Coturnix japonica: one gene and its partners. The protein of the gene in region 7 interacts with the protein of the main gene of each other region in a pairwise test. Links are inferred from orthologs where the notes say so. Each region holds a gene or a part of one and is shown on either strand. Other genes may lie near its edges. The genes, in order: HSBP1, MFAP1, PRKAA2, FAM161A, BYSL, ZGPAT and KIFC3.

What was found.
Region 1: the proteins of KIFC3 (region 7) and HSBP1 interact in binary tests that used the Homo sapiens proteins (3 or more experiments, as listed by UniProt). The two-hybrid records come from large-scale screens. The link is inferred for Coturnix japonica from reciprocal best matches to the Homo sapiens genes KIFC3 and HSBP1.
Region 2: the proteins of KIFC3 (region 7) and MFAP1 interact in binary tests that used the Homo sapiens proteins (3 or more experiments, as listed by UniProt). The two-hybrid records come from large-scale screens. The link is inferred for Coturnix japonica from reciprocal best matches to the Homo sapiens genes KIFC3 and MFAP1.
Region 3: the proteins of KIFC3 (region 7) and PRKAA2 interact in binary tests that used the Homo sapiens proteins (3 or more experiments, as listed by UniProt). The two-hybrid records come from large-scale screens. The link is inferred for Coturnix japonica from reciprocal best matches to the Homo sapiens genes KIFC3 and PRKAA2.
Region 4: the proteins of KIFC3 (region 7) and FAM161A interact in binary tests that used the Homo sapiens proteins (3 or more experiments, as listed by UniProt). The link is inferred for Coturnix japonica from reciprocal best matches to the Homo sapiens genes KIFC3 and FAM161A.
Region 5: the proteins of KIFC3 (region 7) and BYSL interact in binary tests that used the Homo sapiens proteins (3 or more experiments, as listed by UniProt). The link is inferred for Coturnix japonica from reciprocal best matches to the Homo sapiens genes KIFC3 and BYSL.
Region 6: the proteins of KIFC3 (region 7) and ZGPAT interact in binary tests that used the Homo sapiens proteins (3 or more experiments, as listed by UniProt). The two-hybrid records come from large-scale screens. The link is inferred for Coturnix japonica from reciprocal best matches to the Homo sapiens genes KIFC3 and ZGPAT.

What each region holds. Positions count from the first base shown.
Region 1 is NC_029526.1:14,758,421-14,761,878, forward strand, and holds HSBP1 (heat shock factor-binding protein 1), read right to left. Parts: upstream 2,149-3,458; 5' UTR 2,058-2,148; coding exon 2,013-2,057; intron 1,698-2,012; coding exon 1,631-1,697; intron 1,453-1,630; coding exon 1,331-1,452; 3' UTR 1,330-1,330; intron 765-1,329; 3' UTR 501-764; downstream 1-500. UniProt on the Homo sapiens protein: Negative regulator of the heat shock response. Negatively affects HSF1 DNA-binding activity. May have a role in the suppression of the activation of the stress response during the aging process.
Region 2 is NC_029525.1:18,263,697-18,267,789, forward strand, and holds the start of MFAP1 (microfibrillar-associated protein 1), read left to right. Parts: upstream 1-1,293; 5' UTR 1,294-1,400; coding exon 1,401-1,479; intron 1,480-1,716; coding exon 1,717-1,936; intron 1,937-2,148; coding exon 2,149-2,278; intron 2,279-2,592; coding exon 2,593-2,780; intron 2,781-3,148; coding exon 3,149-3,257; intron 3,258-3,330; coding exon 3,331-3,491; intron 3,492-3,733; coding exon 3,734-3,893; intron 3,894-4,093. UniProt on the Homo sapiens protein: Involved in pre-mRNA splicing as a component of the spliceosome.
Region 3 is NC_029523.1:23,036,259-23,040,336, reverse strand, and holds the start of PRKAA2 (5'-AMP-activated protein kinase catalytic subunit alpha-2), read right to left. Parts: upstream 2,801-4,078; 5' UTR 2,766-2,800; coding exon 2,669-2,765; intron 2,496-2,668; exon of another isoform or gene 1,753-2,495; intron 1-1,752. UniProt on the Homo sapiens protein: Catalytic subunit of AMP-activated protein kinase (AMPK), an energy sensor protein kinase that plays a key role in regulating cellular energy metabolism.
Region 4 is NC_029518.1:13,371,497-13,374,258, reverse strand, and holds part of FAM161A (protein FAM161A), read right to left. Parts: coding exon 2,755-2,762; intron 2,335-2,754; coding exon 2,167-2,334; intron 1,630-2,166; coding exon 1,530-1,629; intron 565-1,529; coding exon 422-564; intron 1-421. UniProt on the Homo sapiens protein: Involved in ciliogenesis.
Region 5 is NC_029541.1:4,735,579-4,739,855, reverse strand, and holds BYSL (bystin), read right to left. Parts: upstream 2,801-4,277; coding exon 2,415-2,800; intron 2,334-2,414; coding exon 2,195-2,333; intron 1,988-2,194; coding exon 1,854-1,987; intron 1,668-1,853; coding exon 1,507-1,667; intron 1,302-1,506; coding exon 1,199-1,301; intron 1,068-1,198; coding exon 719-1,067; 3' UTR 453-718; downstream 1-452. Other genes in the region: MED20 (mediator of RNA polymerase II transcription subunit 20), read left to right, coding at 2,799-2,908, 3,053-3,204, 3,369-3,622. UniProt on the Homo sapiens protein: Required for processing of 20S pre-rRNA precursor and biogenesis of 40S ribosomal subunits. May be required for trophinin-dependent regulation of cell adhesion during implantation of human embryos.
Region 6 is NC_029535.1:9,388,222-9,392,026, reverse strand, and holds the end of ZGPAT (zinc finger CCCH-type with G patch domain-containing protein), read right to left. Parts: intron 3,678-3,805; coding exon 3,546-3,677; intron 2,698-3,545; coding exon 2,280-2,697; intron 1,813-2,279; coding exon 1,674-1,812; 3' UTR 501-1,673; downstream 1-500. UniProt on the Homo sapiens protein: Transcription repressor that specifically binds the 5'-GGAG[GA]A[GA]A-3' consensus sequence. Represses transcription by recruiting the chromatin multiprotein complex NuRD to target promoters.
Region 7 is NC_029526.1:1,981,525-1,985,610, forward strand, and holds the start of KIFC3 (kinesin-like protein KIFC3), read right to left. Parts: upstream 2,801-4,086; 5' UTR 2,786-2,800; coding exon 2,651-2,785; intron 1,345-2,650; exon of another isoform or gene 1,264-1,344; intron 447-1,263; exon of another isoform or gene 382-446; intron 339-381; exon of another isoform or gene 145-338; intron 1-144. UniProt on the Homo sapiens protein: Minus-end microtubule-dependent motor protein. Involved in apically targeted transport. Required for zonula adherens maintenance.

The DNA of each region.
Region 1 (3,458 bases), about 13 Mb from region 7:
AAGATGCTCCTAAATGACACTCTGTCAGTTTCAAAGTGTAGTTTTTACAGTGTTACAAAAGCCAGAATCTCATGATGAGACTTTCTGTAACTGAGAATTCTTTGTCTCTCTAACAGATCAGAATGGCAGTGGTAGCTTTGCTCTGTACAGATGTCTCTACTGTTAAACACGTATTTGTTTTACACTCTAGGAACACACAGGTATGGTGATATCAACATGAGATATGATTTTGATATTCAATGTCTTATGTTTCCAAAAATCACCTTACTTACATTTATGAGGAGAAAACAATGCAGTCATCCACTACTTGAGAGAATGATGCTTGGACCTAAGATTAATACTAGATTTCAAACTTGTGCTTCACTCCACAAAATTACATAGGACAACTCAAGATCTCCATTGGACAGCAGTCACTGGCTGTTTAGATATCAAAAATGAGACGTCTAGAAAAAGTATAAGAGGGAAAAAAGTGACCTCACAAAAAAAAATGCACCCGATAATTGAGATCCATAAGATCTGTGTTTTAATAACAACTAATTGATCCTCATAACAAGAATTTGAGAGGTGAAATTACAGTACACAAATTGAAATAGAAACTAACCTATCCCTAGCTATACAATATACATTAAGAATGCAAGCTCTGTAACAATATAAAAATGCTTTTACACACAGTAATTGCGAAAAGCTCTTCTGTTTATTCCAAGGGCTTGTAGAAAAAAAAAACCACCAAAGTCTTCCAGCATTCACCTTAAGTTATTGGCAACCTGTGGGGGGGGGAAACATAACAAGAATATGATTGAGAAGAATTTAAGAAACACATTGATCAGAAGTTTTCATTTGTGAGTTTCAAGCTGAGGAAATTGGCACTGATGGGCAAGGAAGCCCATAACAACTTGTATTTTTTTTGGTCTAAGCACTCAAAATATACATCACTTAACATGCAAGTATGCCTGTTTCAAACAGGCTACACAGTGCTTTAGATGTGACCTCTGAATTTCAGACACAAGGGGCTGAGACATCTCTCATTTAACACCCTTAAAAAAGGGTTCTCTACTATCACATGTGTTCATTTGCCCATTGCTTTCTATGGATGAGGAAAATTAAGTTCTGTATTGAACCAAAACAAAACATCCCTGCTCATACATTGTAACACACAGCCCCTGCTTCTGCTGGAATATTCTTGGCAATCTTGCATTGCCCTCATCTGGTGAAGAAAGCTTCATAAGATTCTTGTATTATAAGGAATTTCAGCCTATCTCACAGATAAAAAAATACATTTTTGCCTTTTAAAGTCAGTAATTTCAAGTGACCTGAGGCCAACTGTCTCACCTTAACTCTTGTTAGTGGTAGCGGGGGCTTTGTTCTCTCCTTCCAGTTCTTCCACTCCTGCTTGTGTCATCAGATCCGCTATGTTTTTCTCCAGGTCATCTATGCGGCAGCTCATGTCATCGAGTTCTCTGGTTAAGGACTATGACTACAATGTAGTGATCAGGTTCTTAGTGTTGTTTGGTTGCAATCATGGCACTGCTCAAACTTTTATGGCCGCTTTAAATGTACCTTACAAATCCCACAGAGATATGTTAAGCCACTTGAGCATTCAAAGCAGCCATTTGGCTTTAGAAAAGGATATTCCGTCCAATTATTTGGTCAGACATGGTCTGAAATTTATCCTGCATCTGCTGAAGCAGCGTCTGCACCTGAGAGAAGGGGAGAAAACACAGCAGGCTGATTGCATTCATTACAGAACTCATCACGATGTTCGTAGTGCTATGAACACACACAGCAGCCTCACAGCACAACCCCCAACGCGTTATATTTATATGTACATACAGAATGAAAAGTTATAGGGGAGAGATAATAAACGCAGACAGACAAACGCAGCTGCTCCCACTGAACAGCCCAGGCCTCTTCTCTACCCCCACAGCCCCGTCCTCACCCACACCCTCCTACTAACGGTGATGTAACGAGGCTAAGGGCTCCTCCAACACCCTCCCCGGGGACACAGCGCTCACCACAGCCGTGAGATCCTGCACGGTCTTGGGGTCCGTGTCCGCCATGGCCTCAGCAGCAGCTCGGTTCACCCCGGCCTACACAGCAACGGAGCTTCCGGGCCACGCCTCGAGGTTTCCGGCTTAGAGCTCTCGCGAGGGAGGAGGAGTTTGCGGTCATGGCGGCTGCTTTAGTCTCTCAGTGTTATTCGGTTTGGAGGAGCAGGAGCAGCACCTAATATCCAAACTCAGCCTTCACTTAAGGCAGTTCACTCTGCTTTGACCGGCCCTCGTTGCTTTCCATCACCATCCTGTAGGCAGCACTGGGCTGTGAGCAGGTCTGTGTTGTAAGGCAGTACAGTGCCCTTATTTCCCATTAAGCTTAACCGTAACATTATGCTTAGCGTAAAAGCTTCCCACATGCTGAGATATAGTGCTTTTCTGATGCTCTTTAAAGGTAACTTTGCAAGTTGGGCACGAGCATGTTTTGTGGCATCAGGTGGTGCAGTGTGAGGCAGCATTCACCTTTTCCAGCCTTTAATATGAAAGGGAATGAGCCTGCATTTTGTCTGTGTTCAGAACAGGGCTTAGAAGCTACAATAAGGGCTGCTGCACAGGTTGGTGGCTGGAGATGGTGCTTTATTGCAGCGTATTGCCTTCATGAAAGGAAGAGCAAATAACAGCACTGAATGCATTAGGTTGGATGCATATCTGCCACAGATCAGTGATACGGTCCTTAAGGGACTGCAAAGCTTCATACACTCGATTTTCACATCAGGGAGCAGCGTTTCCTAAATGCAGATTTATGGGCTTTTCAACCCAAGCCCCGCATCCGTAGTTTTCATCTGTGAAGGGAATGGATGTTTACACAGCTTCGTTATTATGTACTGCAACAAGATCTAAACAAACTCAAGTCAACAGAAACACCAGAGGTGCGTTGGTAAATGAAGAACGTTTCCCATTAGTAGGGGATAATTCCCCAATGCCTCATTTCTAGTTGAAGCGATCCGCTGGCACGTTCAGCCTTATCCCATAACTGCTAACAAATGTGAGATGCAGGGCATTTGCATTATCAATGCGCCTTTGGAAACACTGCAGTAGTCATAAAAAATGCAATTTAGTGCCAGTTTGGGGAAATGTTGTCTGTTTAAATGTAAATATGGCTTCTAGTTCTGAGAAAGGCTAAGAAATTAACTCCCATTTGTTTGTTGGATGTGTTTACAAAAGGCAGTTGTTTTTATGACCGTTCTCTGAGCGACATAAGCTACTGCTTTGGTAAGGCTGTCATACCTGGTCTGTTAATGCACACTGAAGAGGAGATGTCTCGGCTCCCAAGTGCTGATGTGAGTCACACAGCAGGCAGTGCTGCAGGCTCAGGCTGAGCTGCCCTTCAGCTGTTGCAGACCACCAAAGGATGTGGGACAGCAGTGTCATACCTTCCCCTGCACCACTTGAGCATGTCACTTCCAG
Region 2 (4,093 bases), on a different chromosome or scaffold from region 7:
TGATAACCACACAAAATTGATATCTCAGCTGATGACTGGGAGCGGAGCAGGAGCTGGGCACAGAGCTCTAATTGTCATCGGGACATCAAGGCCAGGAACACCAGGAAGGACTTGCCTACCCCCAAGCACTGCTGCTGCAGGAGCACAAAGCCACCAGTGCCCGAGGCAGCGGGACAACTGCAGCACTGGGGTCTGGCTGCACGCACAGCAGAATCACAGGGACCCTGGAGCGGCCAAAAGCTCTGCCTGGGCCTGCTCAGTGGCAGCTCTTCTCCTGCCACAGCACCAGCAGGGTCAGGCTTACCCAGGAGCTGTTGTGCCCAGGGGACCCACCCTGCCAGCACAAGGGAATGCTGAGGTCAGTCCCCAGGAGCAGGTCTCACTGCCTGGCACCCCCGTGCTGATTTCCCGGAAGATAAAACCTCTTCCCTTCTTTTGGGGAGGCACCGCAGCGCTGCAGACGCGGTTGTGGTGGCTGGTGACCCAGTTTTTCCTGGCTTCAAGAGAAATCTTATCTCCTGTGGTTGGCTGCTACCGCGTGGGCAGCTGCTACGAGTTGGCGCTGGGCTGCTTTCCTGCGAAACCCAACTGGTGTGTGAAGGGCTCTGACGTGAGCAGCAACAGCTGGGGCAGGAAACCTGCCCGCTTCCATGTAGGGGCTGCTCCTGCGGGTAATTCCCTCTGCCCTGGGCCGGTGCTGCGGGAAAGTCCTGGCAGCCAGAGGGCGGGGGACAGCCCGGGGAGAGCCCTGCAGAGCGATGGTAACCGGTAAATTCAGCACCGAGGTACGCCGCGCATTCAGCACGATGGTAACCCGGGCATTCCAAGCACCGATGGGCAACCCGTTTCAGCACCGTGGTAACCCGTATTCAGCACCGATGTAACCCGGTATTCAGCACCGATGGTAACCCGGTATTCAGCACCGATGGTAACCCGGTATTCAGCACCGACACTGAGCGCAGCCTCCAGCCGCAGCCACACGAGCAGCAGGGGCAGGACTCGGCAGCCGGCCCCGGGAATCCCGGGCAGGGACCCGGCGCGGGCCGGGGCTACGTGCGGCCGGCTCCGCAGCACGTCACCACTCCCGAGCCCCGAAGCGATGAGCGGAGAGATCACAGCGGGGCCGATCTGAGCCCTGAGGGGAACCGAGCCCTGAGGGGAACCGCCGCTGCACCGCGACCGGACCGGGCCGAAACCAGCTCCACATCCGGCCACAGGAGCCGGAAATGACCTCCACGCTGAGCGTCACTTCCGGCGGCTTGCGACGGTTCGGCGCGCGTTCACTTCCGGTACGCCGGCGGAAGCGGGAGTTGCAGTTCCGGGTGAGCGGTCGGTCTGTCGGTCTGTCGGTCGGTCGGTGCTGTGAGCGGCTGCGGTTCGTCCCGTCCCGTCCCGCCGCCATGTCGGCCCCCAGCGCTCTCGTGAAGCAGCCGCCCATCCAGTCCACGGCGGGCGCCGTGCCCGTCCGCAATGAGAAGGGTGAGTGCGGGGCGCCGGGAGGGGCGGGGGGCGCGGGCACGGCGGCGGCGTGAATGTTCATGGCATGAATGCACATGGCTGCCCATGGCGCCCTGCTCATGGCCCGGCTGCCCATGGCTGCCCATGGCTGCTCACGGCTGTTCATGGCCCGGCTGCCCATGGCGCCCTGCTCATGGCCCGGCTGCTCATGGCTTCCCGCTGCTGTTCCTCCCGCTGCTGTTCCCCCCCCTCCCGCAGGCGAGCTGTCTATGGAGAAGGTGAAGGTGAAGCGGTACGTGTCGGGGAAGCGGCCCGACTACGCGCCCATGGAATCCTCGGAGGAGGAGGACGAGGAGTTCCAGTTCATCAAGAAGGCGAAGGAGCAGGAGGTGGAGCCCGAGGAGCAGGAGGAGGAGGTCGCCAACGACCCGCGGCTGCGGCGGCTGCAGAACCGCATCACTGAGGACGTGGAGGAGCGGTGAGTGCTCGGCTCCGGGCTCTGCTCCCTCCTCGTGCTCCCCCCCAGCTTTGTGTTTCCGGGCTCCTGAGCACGCAGGGGATGCCTCTTTCCTTCACACGCTTCGTGGTCCCGGGTCTGACTACGGTCTCATTAGAAACAGATCGCAAAGATTTCTCTTCTTTAGTCTCCTTGTGTTCAGAGCTTCGTAGTCGAGTGGACATTTGTTGCAGGCTGGCAAGACACCGCAAAATTGTGGAGCCTGAAGTGGTCGGAGAGAGTGATTCTGAGGTAGAAGGTGAAGCGTGGCGTGTGGAGAGAGAGGACACCAGTGAAGAGGAAGAGGAAGAGATCGATGATGAGGTTCGTTATATTGCTGAGCAGATGTGGCCTGGGAAAGTCCCCTTAGGCCCTGTCTGGAATTCGTGCTTGCAGACACACGTGAACTGTGGTGAGACTGGGTGGATGTTGGGACCTGAGTTAAAGCCAGCTGTGGTGTGACCACAGCCTGTGGGTTATGGGGCACCAGGGAGGTCACCTGCGTTCTGAGGTGTGGGCTTATATAAGCAGTCAACATCATATCATATAAGCTCAACATCATGCTTTTTATATGGAAAAAGGAAGGAAGCGATAGTGGGGCTGGTTGGCTGAGTCTGTGTTTGATGTGTCTCCATTAGGAGATCGAGCGTCGGCGTGGGATGATGCGTCAGAGAGCGCAGGAGAGAAAAACTGAGGAGCTGGAAGTGATGGAGCTGGAAGATGAGGGCAGATCTGGAGAAGAGTCTGAGTCAGAGTCTGAGTACGAGGAGTACACAGACAGCGAGGATGAAATGGAGCCACGTCTCAAACCTGTCTTCATCCGCAAGTAGGTGATAAGGTGATACAGCTGCATGGGCCAAGCACTGCATCAGGGATGGGCAGTGACTGACCTGGTAGGGCATGGCTGGGTACTTCCAACTGGGGACTTTAGGCAGGTACAGCACAACAGAAACCAGGTAGTGTGCTCCAACATGTTCCACAGCCAGTAGCAGGGTCTCCCATCACCTTTGTGCATGTCTGCAGATGTGAGGAGACTGAGTATGGTCGCTCTTGAATGAGCAAAATCAGAAAGGAGAGAGCCTTGGGACTTGGCCCTGCCGTGGGGGGCATAAAGACTAAAAGAGGCTGCAGTGGGAGCAGAGGTCTGCAGTGGCATGTTGAAAGGCTGAAGGCTTTTGTGGTCCCTGCTCACAGGAAGGACCGGATCACAGTTCAGGAGCGAGAAGCAGAAGCCTTGAAGCAGAAGGAGCTAGAACAGGAGGCAAAGAGATTAGCAGAAGAGAGGCGCAAGTACACACTCAAGGTACAGCGGGGCAGACTGGGGCATGCATGTTGGGGCAGCCATTGCAGTGAGCTGAGCTTGGTCTTGGCTTCAGATCGTGGAAGAGGAGGCAAAGAAGGAGCTGGAAGAGAATAAGCGCTCGTTGGCAGCACTTGATGCTCTCGATACAGACGATGAGAATGATGAGGAGGAGTACGAGGCTTGGAAAGTACGTGAGCTGAAGCGCATCAAACGGGATCGTGAAGAACGAGAAGCGTAAGTACTGTCTGCTTAAGGCAGGGGAGGGTCCCTGCAGTCCCAGGCCCTGCAGGACAGCGGGCAGTTGAGGCGTCTCTTTCTCAGTCTTTGTTTTGGCAGCATCAGGAATTTTCTTGAGGTGCTTTACTCCATTATGGAGTCAGTCAACGTATTCGTCAGAAAGTCCCGGGTGGCAGCAGCTGTCCCATCTTGGGAGGGCACTGAGGGATGCAGGGGCTCAGGGTTTCTCTTTTGCCCAGCATGGAGAAAGAGAAGGCAGAGATCGAGCGGATGAGGAACCTGACAGAGGAGGAGCGCCGTGCCGAGCTGCGAGCCAACGGCAAAGTCATCACCAACAAGGCAGTGAAGGGCAAATACAAGTTCCTGCAGAAGTACTACCACCGTGGCGCCTTCTTCATGGTGAGTTCTGCTGCCAGGCCTGGGGCTGCGTGGACCACGTGGCTGTTTTGGGGGAGTTTTCCCTAGTGGTACCCAAGTAAGGGCTGGCCAAGCACACAGGACCAGAGCTGGCCCTCAACAGCAGCGTGCTGCTGAAGTGACTGAGGGGATCTGAGGTGCCTGTCAGGTCTGGCAGGCAGGGTGAGTAAAGACACGAATGC
Region 3 (4,078 bases), on a different chromosome or scaffold from region 7:
AACGTTTCCCTTTGCTCACAGTCTCCAACCCAGCACACATTGGTGGGACAAGAAGCACTGGGAGGTCCCATGGGCTTAGCCAGGGCAAACCCAACTTTGCCACATGGAACAGGGAAAGGATGCACATGCTCCTCTGTGCTAATGGCACTGTCCTGTGCTGGTACCCAGGCTGGGCAGTGATGATGTCAGGTGGAGATGAGAAATCCTGCTCCTTCCTTCCCACTCACTGCCTAGATTAAAGCCTGAGGGGAGGAGGGAGGGCTGAGTGGCAGTATTAGAAAAGGGATTTGAGCATGTGTCTTGTCTTCTAGTGACAAGTACTCCAGTCAGCTTCCCCGCAGCTTAGAATCAGCAAACTCAGCTCCATTGGGGCAGGCAGAGGGGATGGATTTGACAGTGACTTGAAAGCACTGAGCATTGAACAGAGCCTGTAAACTCCAAAAACTGGCACCAAAGCAGACGTGGTGTGAGCATCCTTAGCTGTGACTGCATCTGTTTATGCATGGGACTGCCTGCATTACTCCAGAACTGGAGGCTGCTGGAGAAAGAAGGGAAGAGATATAATAGGATGAGTTTCTAACAGGAGACCCTCCATGTTTTATTATTTTTATAAGAGAGGAGAAAAAAGATGAGAGATTTATCCTACAGTAAGCTGAGATAGCCATTGAAGTCCTCTGGCAGATGGCTCAAAACCAAGTATCAGCTCATCCCCACAATGCCTACTGACCATGTCCCTCAGTGTCACATCTACCCTGTGTGTTTGGTGCAGCTCAGGAAGCATGGGCAGCTCAGCTTTTCACAAATGCTTTGCAAGGATTAGAAGAAGTTTAGGAAAGGGAAAGCAAAATCCTTCCCTATCAGCTGTGCTGGTCCTTAGCTTAGCCTGAAGTTACAAATGAAATCAATCCAAAGCATATATTTAGCAATGACATATTTGTTCTGTCCCAGTGCCACTTGCTCAGATGCTGTATCACCTTTCCTTTCCTCTTTCTTTCATCTGTTCAGCCTCTTTCAGTTGATCATCCCTCAGTGCAATGTTTGTCTTTCAGCAACAAATGTATAATGGGAATTGACCCCTACTTGAGGCTGAGTAATGGAGATAAACATAACCCAAGAACTGCTCATGGTGCAATGGCCGTGACTGGGATAGAGCTCTTTGTGGGGTGGGATATGCCTGGTGCACTCACAGCACTGATGTGTCCCACTTGCTCCTTCCCACTTCCAGAGGGAGAGATAACATCCTTTCCCTCATTGTTTCATAGAATCATAGAATGGCTTAGATTGGAAGGGACCTTAAAGATTATCTACTTCTACCTCCCTCTGCCATAGGCTGGTTGCCATCTATTAGATCAGTCTGCCCAGGGCCCCCATCCAACTTGGCCTTGGCCACCTCCAGGGATGGGGCATCTGCAATAAGAAACATGCTGCTGATGGCACCACCAAAACTATCATATACAACAAACACACAGCGTGAAGCAATCAGGAAGAGAAGTCTCCTCTCCCATGTTTCCTGCCAAACATGATGAGCACACCTGAAAGCTCATTAGGTTAAAACAGTGCTATTCTGCATTGCTCCAGTCAAACTCTAACTGGAGTTAAAGGGGGAAAATATACACGTAGAAAAGCTGCTAAGCCACAATGGATGGAGTTTGGAAATCTTTTTATGTTATTTTATATGTCCTTTGGAAGTCTGTTCTTAACCAATTGGGTGATATATGGTGTTGGGGGGGAAGGGGGGGAGATATTCACGCTACTCCTGAAGGGTCCTTAAGGAAATCAGGTTGTTGTTAGCAGGCTTCATTTGGTCTGCAAGAAAAAAGAAATCACCTTTGGGGCACTTTTTGAGGTCTGTTGGTACACAGGAGCGATTTGAATGGTCCTTTCTTTTAGAAGTGTTTATCCTGATAATTCTTTGGTTGGTAAATTCGTGGTTTGGGATTAAACATAGCAATATATTTTTAGGGGGCTGATTAATGGCCACAGGTGGATTTAGCTGCAGTGGTTAAGGTGTTTTCTCTGCCCTGCTGTCAATCTGGGGTTATTTAGATACGTGGGCAGGGGACAGCTGAGCAGGATGGGGTTCCACTCTGCCCCCAGCACCCAGACCTGCTGTCTGCTGGGAATCACAGCTCCTCACTCTGCTTGTATCACACGTTTGTGTAGAGGTGTTTTGTTCTTTTGTTTTTGTGGGGCTTGTTAATATCATGACTCGGGGGGAAAACGTGCACATAACGGTAGAACTGAAAGGAATAGAAATCTTTGCATCGGGAAAAGCAAAGCCAGTGCCTGGCTTGAGTGCGAGAACCATCAACCAGAGACATCCATCCCCGCGTGGCTCCATCGCTGACACCCCCACCCCAAAATGGGTGGGGGCAGCAGCGGAACCTCCTCACCCCCCACCTCCCAGGACCGAAGCGTTCTTCAAACAGCAGCGGAAAGTCACCGGCACCCGCCCCCCCGCATCACCTTCCTGCCGCCGAGGGAGGAAAGTTTCGGTGGGTGCTGCCCTGGGGATCATCCTCAAGAGCTGCCCAGGACGCCCTCACCCCCTCGCCCTGGGAAGGGGTCACATCCTCCCTCCCCACCGCCGCGCCCCGCGGATGATGCTCGGCACGGAACGGGTTCCCCCCGCCCTCCTCTCCCCTCCCCTCAGCCCTCGGTACTCAACCCTTGACTTTGCCGAAGGTGCCGACCCCCAACGTATCCCCCAGCACGTAGTGGCCGATCTTCACCCTCCCGTCGTGCTTCTGCTGCTTCTCGGCCATCTTCGCCCCCCGGCGGAGGACCACAATGCGCAGGGCCGGCACGGTATAGCACGACACAGCTCGGGTCGGCACGGCTCGGATCGGATCGGGCGTGCGCAGCGGGGAGCGGCGGGCCGGGCCGTGTAGGGTGCACGGGGGCGGGGATGGGGGCAGCTAATGGGGATAGGGATGGGGATGGGGGCACCTCCCCGGGAAGCACCCGCTGTAGGGTGACGGTGGCCCCAGTGTTTGGCACCTGCTTGGGAGTGACACTGAGCGCTTTTGGGGTGGAGCCTCCGAGGAGGGACGCTGCCCCTAGGGTGTACCCTGCATTGGGGTGAGGACGTTGCCCTTGGGGTGCCCCCGCCTTCTGGGGTGTGGGGTCTGTATGGGGGTGGAGAAGGTGGCAGCCTCCTGGGGGTGCTATCTGGTCATAGGGTGCACCCCCTGATGATGCCCCAAGATTGGGGTGTACCTGTTCAGAGGATGTCAAACCTGCCTGGGAGTGCACTCATTTGGGGATGCCACACATACCCGGGGATGTCCTCCTGTTGGCACACCTTCCATGGGCTGATCCTCCCTCATGGCGTAGCTTGGGGTTATACACAGCTTATGGCGACACTTTGCATGGGATGACCCCTGGGAGGGCAATTGCATCCAGTTCATAAGATACAGGGATGCTGCTTGGGCTGGGAGATGGGCAGGTGGAAGGGAGGTGGCAATGTGGGTGCCTCCTTGCTGCCCTTAGCCCTGAACTGCAGGCGGGGAGAGATGGAGACGCTGTGCATGTGGGTAAGCAGATGTGTGTGGTTGTTTTGGGGTGATGGTGGTGCCCACTGTTTGCAGCTGTAGGGATGTGGTGGTGGCTGAATGTTTGCACTTGGCAAAGCGGCAACAGGAGCCCCACGGGTCTGTAGCTGTGGTAGTACAAGGGAACAAAACAGATTCACAGGGAAGAAAACATGAACACATCAGTAGTGCAGCCAGCTGAAACCATCTCCACACCCTGGCAGTGCTGTCAGCTGCTGCTTCTCATGGGCTAACAGCTCATCCTAATGATGGAATTATCCATTCCTTTGCATTCCAGCCACGGGACAGCCCACAGTCTGTTGCTGTAATGTTGTAAATTAGATAATAACACGGCTTTGTTAAGTGGGCTGATTCTTCTTGCTGTAGTTTCTGTCTCATTAGAAATGAAAAAAAAAAAAAGAAAAGCAAACCTGTCCTGAAGGAAACACCCATTCAGCAGCCCCAGCTCTCTCCTGTAATGAATATTTCCCATTTTACTTGTTAAGACAGCTGTAACCCCAAAAGAAAGGCAATCCACACTCTAA
Region 4 (2,762 bases), on a different chromosome or scaffold from region 7:
AGAGGGAAGGCTGGACTCTGCTTTTACGCTAGAAAGTAACAGTACTGCTTATATATTTGGCTTTTCCATTTCCTTTCTGTCATAACAGCAAATGGATATTGAGAAGCCTTAAATAAGGCTTATTTTAAAAAACAGAAATAAAAGTGAAGGTGATGCAGAATGAAATGACTTCTCAGCAGCCTTCCAGAAATCACGGTTAAAGAACCAGACTGAAAATATTACCCTGAATTGTTCTTTGAAGTGCATGGTGTATAACATACCCAGAGCCCTTCTCTGACTCAGGAAACAATTCAGGCAAAACAACCACACACGCTGCAATATTTACTTGGAAGTACTGCAAATGATTTTCTCAGCATTAAAAATGGCTCTCATTACTACTCGGTACACAGCAGCAAAACCAAAACCCTTCTGTGATCTCTACCTTTCTTTGGCATCAAAATCTTCAGCACTGCAGTACTCTTGCAATTTAGTTGTTTGTCCTTTCTTGGAAACCAAGTCTGGGCACACCCCCAGAGCTCTCAGTCTGTTAGAATAATATTTTTCTGCAGCTATTCTGGCATTATTCTGTAGGAAAAACACAAGGGTGAAGTATGAGCTAAATGCCCGTCTTCAGATACTTTTGCTTATATTAATACTGTTTCATTATTTGCACGTGAGAAGTTAAGTTCGATTATTCACTACAGCTAAGAATGGCAAAACTACTTGAGAACTTTATAGCAGATCTTCCTCCCTTTTCTGTACTGGTTCAAATGCAATTTGCTCCCTACATCCGCCGGGTAACAAAGCGCTGTAAATACTGTGTAATGCTATTGAGGGAGCGGGGAGAAGGTACAGACCTGAAACATCAGCTGTGTTCTTCCTAGGGCTGCTTCTCTCTGGGGGAGCTGCTGCTCTGAAACATGACATTGCTTTACTCTCTCACAGTGCTGTTTTGATGTGCTGTGCAAATCTGAATCTCTCTGTCAAGCTGTGTAAGCTCTGCTCCTCCAAGTGACAGCTGGGTGAGGAGGCCTTGTCCCCAGCCTTCATGCATGCTCTGCCCTGCAGCACTGCTGGGCCAGGAAACCCACCTGGGAGGGATGAGAGAACTGGGAGGAATGGGCTGTCTATGCCTTGCTGCCTCTCTATTCCAAAAGCAGTCGGGGACTGTGCTACCAATGCTTTGTTTTACTGAGACAGAGGGGTGAAAATTCTGCATCTCAGCTTTACAGTAGACATGGGGAATGCTTGAGATCTCCTAGTATTCTCCCAGATTAAACCTCTCATCTTTTGCTGTAAATGTGTTCGACTCAGTGCTGTGTGTGTTATAACTGAACCACTGGATGTCTTTAAAACATCTCATTTCCCTGCGCAAACGCACCATGAATGCTTGGTCACAGAAAAGTGATTTGTAGGGAGATGGAGCAGTAGAAATTAAAATGGACAAAAACTTGTCTAAATAACTTCATGTAACTTTTAACAGTGTTTGACTAAAAGTTCCCTACACACTTAACTGGAGATGAGTCTAAGAAACAGACAAACAAGGCAACCTGTGTTACTCTTTCCAAGAGCAATGGCCTTTGCTTTACTCTTTCTTCCATCTCTTGTAACTCTTGCAAATACTCCTGCATTCTCTGCTTGGCGGAGTTCCTAAAGGAAACACAGTGCAACAGAAGTCAATTGTCTGTAACACAAGAAGTACTTCCTTCCAATTGCTCCATGACAAGCATGGTCCCTGGTTAAAAAAAGCATAAGGTTTTACTGTCTTACAGTGGAATTAGGTTTACCTCCTCAACTTCATGGAATGATAAAATGATTTGGAAGGGGCCTTAAAGCCCACCCAGCCCCAACCCCCAGCTGTGGGCAGGGCTGCCCCCACCAGCTCAGGCTGCCCAGGGTCCATCCAACCTGGCCTTGAGCACCTCCAGCGATGGGGCACCACAGCTTCTCTGGGCAACTGTGCCAGGGCCTCACTGCCAGAACATCCTTGTTTGGAATACCAGTGGACAAAACTATTTCTGAAGTAGTGTCCTTGGATAAGCAGCGAGAAGTCCTGTCCAGTGAGGCTAACGGGGCCTGCCTGAGTATAGTTTCTTATAATAGATTCTTCTGCCTTCCCCACCTCTTTCCATATTGTCTCTGAGTTTCTGCAGAGAGGCTCAGGATTCAGGGGATGCAATGAAATACCTGAACGCCTTTAGTTTGGATTTAGAGGTCTGAGCGAGGCTCTGATGGGGGTCGTTGGCCTCAGCCCGAGTCGTGACAATTTTCTGCAGTTTCTTTGTTCTTTGTTTCTGCTTTGTCCTGTTCCTTTTCTGTTGTTCTTCCAGCCTTCTCTTTTCCTCATGCGAATTCCTGGGTGGAGAAACAAACTAAGGCTGAGTTTGTTTGAAATCAGGCACGAGACTTCAAAGGAAGCTTCGGCAAAGGAAATTTGAAATACTAAAAAAGAAATGGAGGAGGGGGGGAGGGGGGATGAAAAAGGGCTTGGTATAAATGGGTATGTGCCACTGTAAGGGATTAGAGCGTATCCTGACAAACTGAGGCCGTTCTTCCCTTTCCTATTGACACGTGCAGGAATGTGCATTACTGCTTCTAGGAAAACCCAGTATTAGTAAAGCCCCGTGTTTAGTGTAAGGACTTGACAATGGTGTACAACTGAACATATTAAGTCCCATATTCACTGCATGAAATAATTAATTGCATCTGTAGAGGTACAAAAGAATTCTCTCTAGGTATTTAAAGGCACAGAGCATCACTGCAGCAGTTAGTCACCTTAGGGC
Region 5 (4,277 bases), on a different chromosome or scaffold from region 7:
ATGCTTCCAGGAGCAAGGACAGGAGCTGGACATCTGCAGGAGCTGTAGTGTCCAGGTGAGCACCCAGGTAAGCGCGGAGCCTTGTGCGATGCCCCGCTGGATTTTACAGCAGAGGTGGCACTTCAAGGCAGCTGCCACGTGTGGGTTATGGCCTTGCCCCTTGCCCCCACCTCTCACAGGAAGATGTTTAACCCCAGCCCCTCTGCCCAACATCACAGAGGCTGCTTAATGCACAGCACAGTTGGGAACGTGCTCGCTGCTGACCAGAGCACAAGGAGGGCAGGGAGTTGCACAGCCCCTGGTCTCCTTTTGCAGCCGGGACAGCTGCAGCGCAGTGCTGCAAGGAGCCGCTGTTGGTGGCTTTGCTCTGCCCCCTGCTGGGGACAGGACGAGGGGAGGGGGACAGGGCAGGACGATGCACGGATGCAGCCACACAAAGATGCAACTGCAGGTCAGAGCTGCTCCAGGAAGGACCCAGCACGGGCTTTATTTTCCAGAACAGGAGCAGGACAAGCCCTACTGCTGTCCTGGGTGCCAGGGCTGTAGGGCTGCCCTGACACAAGCAGCGCAGGGAGCCCAGCCCAGCCCCGTGGTTACAGCACCATGAGCAGTGGGATCCCAGGGCTGGATGCTCCCAGACCCCTGGACGTGCTGCTCCCAGCTGTGCAGCAGCCCCCAGGAGCCAGGCCAGGCTGTGGTGCTTCCTTCCTTCCTCCCCTCACTCCATCACTGCCGGCTCCTGCCCCTCCACGTCCCGTGTCTTGGAGTTCACCAGCTCCCTGCGGATCTCGGCTGAGATCTGTGGGTGGCTGTGGAACTTGAGCAGCTCGAGCAGAGCTTCCTTCTGCTCCGAGGACAGGTCCTCCTTGTAGCGCTGGGCAAGAGCCAGGAAGCTCTGGTGCCACAGCACGGGCAGCGTGCGCTGGTCTGTGCGGAAGGCCAAGAAATGGAAGACCAGGGCATCCACCACACGGAACGGCAGCGCGTACTTCTTGTCGATGAGCAGCCGCAGGAAGATACTGTTGGCACCGTTATATGGCATCTCAGCAATCTTCAGCATGGCTGCACTGTGGGGACAAGGGGAGCAGCAGGTGAGGGCAGGGCACAAAAAGGACGGCTTTGAATCAGCCCTGAGCAAAGCTCCCCCACTCTGAGCTGTTGGATGGGCTGAGGGGCAGTGACTGCCCCAGTGCATTACCTGGAGTGCAGGACAGGGATGGAGCACTTGGTGAGGATGCTGCCGATGATAATGGCCTCCCGCAGTGTGCAGGTCCCCGATTCACACAGGGGGATGAGGATCCCTGTGGGGAGAGAAGAGCTGGGCACCACTGGTCATTGCAGCAGGCAGAGCTGTGGGGTGTGAGGCTCAATCTCTGCTCTCTCAGGGCACATTTAACCCAAGGAAATAACATCTCTGCATCATGGGCACCTTTCCACCTTCCTCCCCCTGCCCTGCCCTGCAGCAGGTTCCCAGGGGTGGAGTGCAGCCCTGCAGGGAGCCCCTACCTTTGAACCAGGCTCCTGGCTTGAACAGAGCCTTCTTCAAAGCCATGTAGAGGTGGAAGTTGAGGCGCTTATACTCAGCGATATCATCTCTGACCCGTGGCAGCAGCACCAGGTTGTAGAACCTCTGGGCCATCCTCTCCTTCAGGTTGGATGAAAATATCCTGTGAAATGCAAAGCATGAAGAGTGAGCTGTGACTCCAGAGCCATCCACCCCCAGCATCAGGATCCCCTCTGCTCCACAGGCACAGGGCAGGAGGAGCAGCTGTAGGACACACGATGGTATTTTGTCCATCTCGTTCCATTACAAGGAGAAAACAACAGCTCAGAGCACACTGAGCTGGTCCCACCTCGTGGCCTGGTACATCGCTGCTGCCGTCCACGTCTCGGGCTCCGTGATGTAGAGGATCTGCTCCCAGTTGGACAGGGCAGGAATGATTTTAAATGCCTTGGGGAGCTTCCCACTCCTGTATTTGGACAGCACCTTCAATGGAAGCAGAGGGGGAAGGGTTTGTCTCAAGGCTGTAAGCAACCTGTCTGCTCCCTGTGCAGCTCCACTGCGTGTGCTCACACAGCACGTATGTGCTCACAACACCCGAGGGACACAGCAGTGCTGTCTGCACTGCTCCGCCGGGAGCTGGGGGGTCCCACAAAGGTGTGTGTGGGGCCGGGGGGGCCGCAGTGCCCTCACCTCTCTGACGCCTCTGTACACCTCTATCACGCGGGGGTCGAGCTGGGGCATGGGGCGGCCCGACAGCTCGGACAGCGCCGTCTGCACCTCCGTCTGCTTCTCCGTGATCTTCTCCATGATCACATCCGCCAGCGTCCGCCTGGGGGGGCGGCAGGGGTCGGTGATGGGGAACCGGAGCTCCCCGTCCACCCCCCGCCCATTCCCACCCCTCCTCCGGTACCTGAGCGGCGCCGCGCGGTTCATGAACATCTCCAGGGCCTTCTCGTCCTCGGGATCCACCTGCACGTCCCCCCCGCCGCCCGTCCCGTCCCACTCCGCCGCCCGCTGCAGTGACGGCCACTCCTCGTCCTCATCGTCCTCCTCCGACCCGCGCCCGCTCGGGGCTGTCGGTGCGGGCGCCCCGGGGCCGTGCTCGGCCTCCAGCTCCTCCTGCTGCCTCCGGGCCTCCCGCAGGATGCGCCGGGACAACCGCGGCCCCACGTATCCGCCGTCCCGTTCCTCCGCATCGCGCCCCGCGTCCCGCGCCCGCCGGTTCCGCACCGTGGGGGCCGCAGCCCGCAGGATCTGCTCGTGCAGCGGCTCCGCCACACGCGCCGCCTTCGGCATGGCCGCAACAGCGACACGCGATCAGACGCGCCGGCGCCAGCACGGCCAGCCCCGCCCCTTCCGGTACCGGCACCGCCACTGCCGGGACGGAGCCATGGGGGTGACCTGGTGAGGGGCCGGTGGGGATGGGGTGATGGATGGGGTGATGGATGGGGTGATGGATGGGGTGATGGGGTGATGGGGTTGGGGCTGGGTTTGGGTTTGGGTTTTGTGGAGGCCCCGCGGCCATTTTTGCTGTTTGTCGCCCCGCAGCGTGACGCAGGTGCCCGTGTTGGAGGGTAAGAGCGTGCAGCAAACCGTGGAGCTGCTGAGCAAGAAGCTGGAGCTGCTGGGAGCCGAGAAACACGGAGCGTTCGGGGTGGACTGTGAGACGTATCACACGGCAGCCGCCATCAGCAGCCAAGGTGGGAACCCGGGGGGGGCGGGTGTAGTGCGGACATGGGGCATCTGCTGGGCTGGTCAGCATGGAGAGGAGAAGGCTGAGAGGGGCTGGGGGCGCTTATCAACCCATACGAATGTTTAAAGGGTGGGTGTCAAAGGAACGGGCCAAACGCTGCTTTTCTTTCAGGGCAGACGGGCAAACTGATGTACGTGATGCACAACTCCGAGTATCCCCTCAGCTGCTTCGCTCTGTTTGAAAACGGGCCCTGCCTGATCGCGGACGCCAACTTCGACACGTTGATGGTGAAGCTGAAGGGATTCTTCCAGAACGCCAAGGCAAACAAGATCGAGAGCCGGGGCACGCGGTACCAGTACTGCGACTTCCTGGTCAAGGTGGGAACCGTCACCATGGGCCCCAGCGCCCGCGGGATATCCGTGGAGGTGAGAATCACCTTTAAGGGTATGAAATCCAGGGCAGGGAAATCCCATGTTGGAGGCTTGGCTAGAAACCTTGAGTCCCCATCCCTTCCATGTATCATCTGTGTTACTCGTTGCTGGCAGGTTGTATTAATGCATTCAATGCCCTCCTGCTGCAGCTTTGGCTCTAAAGCTGCTTTCTCCTGGTCACAGAGCTCTGTGCTGTCAGTGCTGCCCCAGATCTGAGATGAGGTGCTGAAAGGTCTTGTAAAATCTGAGCATGTGTTTCCCTAAACACACAAATCCTATTAACTGGTCTGTAATTAATAATGATGGCGCATCTACCCAGGCAGGTGTTCCGAGCTAACAGGGATGGGATTGAGAAATGCCTTGGTTTTGCTTCATAAGAATAAACACAGATGTAGTGGTGCGAGCTGCTGCTGAGCTGGGGTTAAAGAGAAGCTTGTTTTACCCTAAGCTTGAGTCCAGGACCAGATTTTCCTGGCAGTCCGGCTGCTTCTGCTTTGGTTTAGTAGGTTGTTTTCTGGGTGTCCATTAGTACATAATCCCTGGTCTGGAACCGCAAGTCCTTAAATCCCAAGGCTTTATCATCACACATCTGAGAGATGTCGTGGCCACACAGGCTGTTAACAGCGACTCTTGGGAGAGAAGTTTGTCG
Region 6 (3,805 bases), on a different chromosome or scaffold from region 7:
AGCCCTGAGTCAAACCCAGCGCACAGAGAACACCAATTCCCAACAATGAAGAGACTTCAGCCAAATGAGTTACAAACAGACGGATGCGTCGCACTCGAGGCAGCCCACAGCACCTTTCACAGCAGAATCCCATTGCTTTCCAGGAGGAACCAGGCACTCTGACAGGCTTCCTGACTGTATTAATCTCGCTTATCTTCGCCGTTGCTCTTTGTTTTCCGAAGGGCGTCTGCAGTAGTGCTAAATCACATCTGGGCTCTGATGGTATCTCCTTCAGCCGTAGGTTTTCTGGTTAGCTCGGCAGTGAATCAGACAGGCCGGGCCCCCACAGGGTGATGCAGTTCTGCCCAAGCTGACGGCTTCAGAATCTTCTCAGAAGCAGATAAAAAGGTGGCATGAAGGGAGCAAAGCTTTCCATGAGACAGAAAATGACTCAGAATAAAAGGAAATTGATTTGGGTTTCGGTTTTTTTTTTTTTTCTTTAATTAAGAAAAAAACGTGTCCTGGCTTGAAATCACTAACAATTTATGATGACTGTTTTTTTTAAAAAACCAACACAATTACAATGAATAAATCCCACCGGAAAGAGAGGCTGAGGAAATCACCAGCTCTCCTCTGGGGTAACGGCCAACTGCAGCCAACAGGGAATACAACCTTGGGGAGAGGACATCCCTCCTGTGAGAGCACTGACCATGCAGCAGGGAAGGGCACCTCGCCTGGCCTGCTCCCAGGCAGGGCTGTGTGCTCAGCACACACACACACACACACACCTCCCAGTCCTCGTGCTCAGTCTGACCTGAGACTGGGTCCTGAAGTTTCTTAATAAAGGATGGGCATTCAGAGAGCCATATGGGACTGAAAATCTCAAGTAAGGACAGAAGCCCAAGGTTCTCTGTAGTGTTGTTCCTAGCGAGGAGGTTTGAGAATCTGTTACTCTGCTGTCTTACTCCCCCAGCTTTGGCACTCACAGAACCACACAGCTTCCCATGCCAAGTCGATCAGTTAGGCTATAGCATGTCTTAGGGATACTCTTACACTGAAATTGAAGAAATATGATGCTTGAGGCCCCTAATACCCAGCCCTGAGCTGCCAGTTTTCTGTCTATGCATTACACAAGGTTTATGAGAAACTGCTCCTTATCTAAGAGTTCTCCCCATAGCAAACGACAGAAGGTGTAGAGAGCAGCTGAAGCAATTTGCCTTTGTTGTTCTCAACTAACATATGCCTTTTCTGCTCTGCCAAAACGTGCCTGGGACCCTGCCTCCACTTGTGTTCATCAGTTGGCTGCAAACACAAGCCACAACCGATGGCAGGATGTGGGGCTTTCAAAGGCCCTCCTCATCCTGTTCGTAGCCAGCAACGTTATCATCTGAGCAGCTACACACTCTGGCTACTGCAGAGATGAGAGGAAAGAAGTGTGCAAGATAGCAGAGAACTGTATTTCTTGTAGCTAGTCCTTACACAAAGTTCAAGACTGGACAGATGTGGGCTCCTCCTCTTCCCAGCAGAGCTCAGAAGCATCTGGTTTCAGGAACTGCTGCTTTTCAGCCCAGTTTTTGGGCTGGGAGTGCAGCCTGAGGCCCAGAGAAGCAGGACAGCTCATCCAGGCTTTGAGGCCATGAGCACAAGAGTTAGCTAGAAGGATAACCATGGCAGTCAAACACCTTCCTCAGAGACTAGAATTCAGTCATCTTCTTATGTGTGTCTGCTTTCTTCTGCTCCCGCTGCAGACTGGCTTCCTGGGCCTGCAGCTGCCCCAGCTGTTTGTGTGCATTAGCCAGCTTCTCCTCCAGCTGAGCGGCAGCAACGCTGTGCCTGAAAGCAAAAAGCATCATAGCAATGTGTCATCCTGCATGGTTAAGATCAGAGGTCTGTCACCATCCTAAGAGGGTCTTCCCTTTTCTATGGGATCAGCCCAAGGCACCTGTTGAAGGCAGGAAGTACCTGATGCTCGGCACAGTCTGGGCTAGGAAACATCCTCCAGTGCTGCTCAGCAGCAGCACTTCAGAGATGGGTATGGGAAGGAAAGGACTATGGGACTTCTCCTGAGAGAGCTCCTCTCTTTAACACAGCCTGAATTCCACCCAAAGGACCTCAGACACACCTGCCAGTGTCCAAGCTGGGCTGAAGCACACGTTAAAGGCTCTCTCCCTCTACTTCTCCCCAGGTCATGCACAATAGTTTCCTTCCTTCCTCCCACACCTAATTTCAAGCCCACACCTTCCCAAGTGCACCAAGAATCCTCAGTTTATCCCACAGCCCAAAAGAGAAGTTTTTCGTACCGCCCAATATTGCGTGCCAGGGCCTGCTGGATTCCTCTTATATCCTTCTGTGTTTGTTCAATCTTTTCCATTGTCTGGAAGAGGCGGACACTCAGGGCCTTCTTGGTGCTCTTGCTGGCATGGTAGATCTCTTTGCTTTTCCTTTCCGGCAGTGTCATACCTCCAACCTTCTCTCCTGTGTTCTTCCCTCTCAGTTTCTCATTCAGAAAGTCAAACACATTGCGGGGTGGCTTGCGGCTGCCTGCAGGGGACCTCCCAGTGTTATTTCCCTTTGCTCGGGATTTCTTTGAATTGCCAGGGTCCAACCTCCCCTGTTTCTTTCTCTGAAGCACCTCAGCACACTGGTCAAGGGACTTCCCTCGAGGAAGTACCACCGCCTGCACCGGCTCCACTCGGCCATCAGAATTCTTCCCAAGCCCTGAGAGGGAAAAGCCATAAGAGTCACCAAGCCATTACCAAGAGGAAGGACATCCCCTCTCCAAGTCAGATCCCACCACAAACTCACACTGACAGTGACAAGCTTAGAACAAGCAAGCAGGCTTTGGACGTGCAAAATGTCGTAACTACCATCCAAATCAAGGGAAACAGCCAAAAGCTGCAGCTCATCTATGTAAATCGACAACAGGAGCCTTCCTCAAGCAGAATATAAGTGATAAAAAGCCCAAGGCCAATAACCAGGTCAGTTTCTGTAAGACAAGGTTCAGTTTCACATCCTTGGCTTCTCAAGGAAGGTTCTTCTTAAAACTGGTTTGGTTCCTCTGGGAGAATCCGAGATAAATCAAGTAGCAAACTGGCCTCCCAAAGCCCCCAAGGCTCCATCCAATTTGTGTAGTAAGAAGCTAGTTTAGCAGGCTTTGAAGTCCACGTCTAGAGCCAGGAGATGCTTTAATACAGACATCACAAGCTTCATAAATCAGTTCCTTTCTACCTACCTAAAGCCTTTGAACAGCTCATTCAACAGTTCTCACAGCTTTAATCATTAACCTGACCATGGTTTTAAATGCCTCCAAACTTTTGCTGTTACCATACAAGAGCTGGTGCACACATGCGGCTGTACTTCGATTAAATAGTTCTCTTCTTGCCTACCAACATTTCCACCCAGGGGTGATTCATCACATACCTCAAGCCTTATCTAACAGGCCCTTCAGCAAAGTTTTTGCCTCGTCCAAAATCTTGGTCTTCTTACCTAGCCTTAGGATGCATCACAAGACTGAGACTGCAATGCAGGCAGGCTCTCACACCACCATGATAACCCTCTTTCCTTACCTTTTCCAAACTCATATCCCATCTGAACGAGCAGTTTGGAGCCAATGCCACGAGTGTGGGCTTCCCAGCCACCGAAAGAGGAACTGCATGCAGGAACCCATTCTCCATTCTCTGGAACCCCAGAATCTATCACTGTAACACAGAAAAGACAAACCGGTGACACACAGACACAAAGCTGATTTGCAAAACCTTCAAGAGCATGAAAACCCTTCTTGATGTAATACAATGTACTGCTCCCACCACAGAATTGTTCAGCAGCT
Region 7 (4,086 bases):
AGCAGCAGGACGCGCAACCCGCAGGGCACCCCACGCCCCTGCAGCTCTGCAGCTCGCTCCCGCTCCCCGGCCGCGCAGCAATGCGAAGAATGCGGGCTTGCCGGTTCCTCCCCCCGCCCCTCCGCGGAGCTGGGCGCTACTCACGCTGCAGGGGCAGCTCCCGGCCCGGGCGGGCTGCCGGCATGGCACGGGGGGTCCCCGGCTCCGCGACCCCTCGGCTGCCGCAGGGAGAGCGACTCGGCACCTCGCAAAGTCCGCCGGTCCCGCTCCGCACCCCGGTCCCTCCCACCGCCGTCCCGCACACAAAGGGAAGCCCGGCCCGGCCCGGCCCCGCCCGCTCCCGGTACCGCCCGCTCCCGGTTCCCTCCCGGTGCCGCTCACCGGCCGCCCGCTGCGGCTCCGCTCCCCGCCCCGGTCCCGCCCACCCGGGCGTCGGCACCGGCTGCTCCGCCCCGGTTCGTTGCCCTGGTAACGCCCGGGACCCCCGACGGGCGGCGGTGCCTGGGGGATGCACGGCCCCGCAATGCCACTCTCAGCCCCACGTAGCCCAACTCTGCCACTCAGCCCCTTACAGCTGCTCGTAGTCCCACACAGCCTCTCTCAGTCCTACAGAGCCCCATATAGCCCCTCTCAGCTGTACATAGCCTCACACAGCCCCGACCTGCCCCTCTCAGCCCCTTAAAGCCCCTCATAGCCTTATCCAGCCCCCACAGCCCCTCTCAGCCCCATATAGTCTCTCTCAGCCCCACTGTGGGTGCTGTAGGTGTTCACGCAGGGCTCCCCGTGTCCGTGCAGCGGCTGCCGCTGGTTCAGCGATGACACGGGCGGACACGAGGTGACTGTAAGCATTCCAGCAGCGACTCTAAATGTCGTATTGTCACTGCCTTAATTTACGAGCTGTGAGGGCAAAATAATGTTTATGCAAATAGCTCTGGGCGTTAAGTCATTTCCTGTCCTTTGAATGCTTCAGGTTTTTTGATGGCATTGCAATTATGCAGCGGGCGTACGTTGCGTCAATTGCATCGAGAAGAGACTAAATGGGTGAGGGGAGATGGACGGCTCCCAGAGCAGGACCCCAATGCACCAGGAGATCTGGGTGCCCACCGGGCCGGTGGGGTTTATCCTAAGGATGGTACTCGGGGCTGAGCATGGAAATCCCGACCCTCAGGGCTCTTTCGCATTGGAAGCAGCCCCTCTATCACCCTCATATTGCGCGAGCAATAGGGCTGCCCCCCCACCCCCCTCTCTCCAGCCCCAGCTCACTGCGTGCTGCCTTTGCTTTCTCTCCACGTTCCAACGCGGCGCCGCGGGCTCTGCCCTTCCTTTTAGAGCAGCTCTTTCCCCGTCTGCAAAGCATCCCTCCTCGCTGCCAGCCTGGGAGCAGACATCCGAGTGCCGGCCCGGGATCAATGAGCGCTGGGAGAGCAGCAGGAGGGCGGCCAGCCCCGCTGCCACCTCCTGTGCGTGTGTATGCAATGAGGGATCGGCTCAGCCAGGCGGCTTCATTCCCATTTCCCCCCTATTTGCCCACGAGTGTGGATGGAGGGAAGCCCCATTGATTGTGCCGATGGGGGCCCTTTGCATTTGCAGTCTGCTCTGCCCCGAGCAAATATTTAACCTACATCTGTAACACCTCGGGGGAGATGGGGGGAAAATACGATATCCTGGCCAAAGTTTAACCTCCCCCTCCATTCCCTTCCAGCAAACTGATGGCAGGAATGCAGGCGTGGGCACACCTGGGTGCTCTCTGTAGGAAATTCCCACCGGGAGGATCATCAGATGGAGCGAGAATCATCCCCACAGAGCAATTAATGATAACGCAGCTCAGTGCTGTAACTCCACTCCTCCCTGAGAGCCCCAGTGAGGGGATCCCCGTGCTGAGCCCACAGGAGCAGCTAACGAAACCCCACAGTCCCTCGTTGCCATCTGAGCTCTTTAACGAGTTTTAATTAAGTCTTAGTGTGCTCCTGAGAAATTTGTACTCGTTTCCAAGTTCACAGTGGGAATTAACCCAACCCGCAGGCAGCGATGCTGAGATAGGGCAGCACTCAGGTGACCCGGAGCTGCCCCCACTCACCCACCCAACATCAGCAGCCCTGTCTTTTTCTCCTGCTGTGCAGCTGGAGGGTCCCTGCAGGGCCTGGCCCCATCCCTGCCCTTCTCCCCAGGAGCTGAGCCAGGAGGTGCAAATACAGGCAGAAAGGATGGCAGCGGTCTCCTTTAAAAAAGGCATCCCGTCCTCGGCGAAGCTGTCTATTTTTAGTGCCCTCGGAAGCACGTTTGGTTTTGGAGGAGACGCTCAAGCAGTAATTGTGAATAATTTAGGGAACTGAGTTTGGAGGCTGATGTCAGCAGCCGTGCCACTAAGGGACACTGAGTGCGTGGCTTTGGCTGCTCAGAGCTGAATCCCACAGGGACACGCAGCCATAGGAGCCTCTGTGGGAAGAGCAGTGCTGCTGTGCCCTTCTGGAAGGGGAGAGCAATGGCACAGCTCTGTCGCCTCCCAACTGCTCGGCCTGCAAACTTACCCTGCCATGCATTATTCACAGCTCTCATCTATAATGCACAGCCCTACACCCGCACCTGGAGCTGCATGGCGATGGATGGACACTGCAGCTCACTGCCATCGCTCCCACCCCATGTCTCTCACCTGGGGGCCGGGCCCTGCTGCCCACCGCCTCGCTCCTGGCAGTCCCCTGGTGCTCTGCAGAGCCACGCTCCTCCATTTGCTGTCCTTAGTCCAGCCCAGCACTGAGAGTGCAGCCAGAGCACCCAGCGCATGCATGGCACTGCCTGCTCCCCAAAGGGCCCCCAGGGCGGCTGCTGCAGAGCAACTCTGTCTGCAGTGGAGGAGAAAGCGACGTCTCCTCTGCTCCTGTCTGCCGGTGCCTTAAGAGCAGATTAAAACCCAGCCCTGCAAATTGCTGACACAACCTATTTCTTAGATGGGTGGACAGGTGGACTTTTCTCCCTCTGCAGATAACAGTGCTCAGATGGCAGCACGTTTGCTCCCTGAGTGCAGCCATCCACCCCAGGGTCTCAGGAACACCCAAACCTTTCCTGTTCCTGCAGCAGGAATGACACAGAGCCCCATTTCCCTCCCATCAACCCGCACGTGCAGGCTGTCTGAAGGCAGCCAGGAACGGTGAGAGCAGGGAGATTTGCAAAGCAAACAGCGATCAAACAAAAAGGCTTTGGTTACTGTTCTCGAGGCTGTTTGCCAAGACACACAGATCATATCGGGCTCATTTACAGAAGGAAAACCAACGTAATTAGCGCACAGGAAAACACTTTAATGAAAAGAGCCTTCGTGTAAAAAGCGATGGGACACTGCCCAGTGCTGCAGCAGGACCCAGAGCCATGCTAATGCTGCATGTCCCAGCTCAACATGGTCACACCGCTGTGCTGCATGCACTGCAGCAGGCAGTAACCATGGCAGCAGAGAGATCTGCACGTGATAGCAGCATTTCTGCAGTACAAAGGAGCCTCTTATCTGGGCTGAGCCAATCGCCAGGCTGCTGCTCATTCTTCCACCTTGTGCTAGGACAGAGCCGTGCCATGTCATGCCATCCTATGCCATCCCATGTTGTGCCATGCCATGCTACGCTATATTCTGCCATGCTGTGCCTCGCCATCCTGTGCGATCCCATGTCATGCCATCCTATGCCATGCCATCATATATCATTCCATGCCATGCCATCTTATGCTATGCCACCCTATGCCATTCCACAGCATGCTATCCCATGCCACACTATGCCATACCACCTTATTCCACCCCAGGTCATGTCACTCCATGCCATGCCATCTTGTCATCCCATACCATACCATTTTATGCTATGCCATTCCACACCATGCCATATCACCCCATCCTATGCCATACCATCTTATGCCATTCCATGCCATTCTGTCCTATGCTATTCCATCCCATGCTATGCCATCCTATGTCATGCTCTTCTATTCCATGCCATCTTATGCCATCCTATATCACTCCATTTCATGCCATGCCATCATATGTAATGCCATGCCACCCCATCCCATGCTATGCCAAACCATCCTATGCCATCCTGTGCCATGTCATGCCCTGTT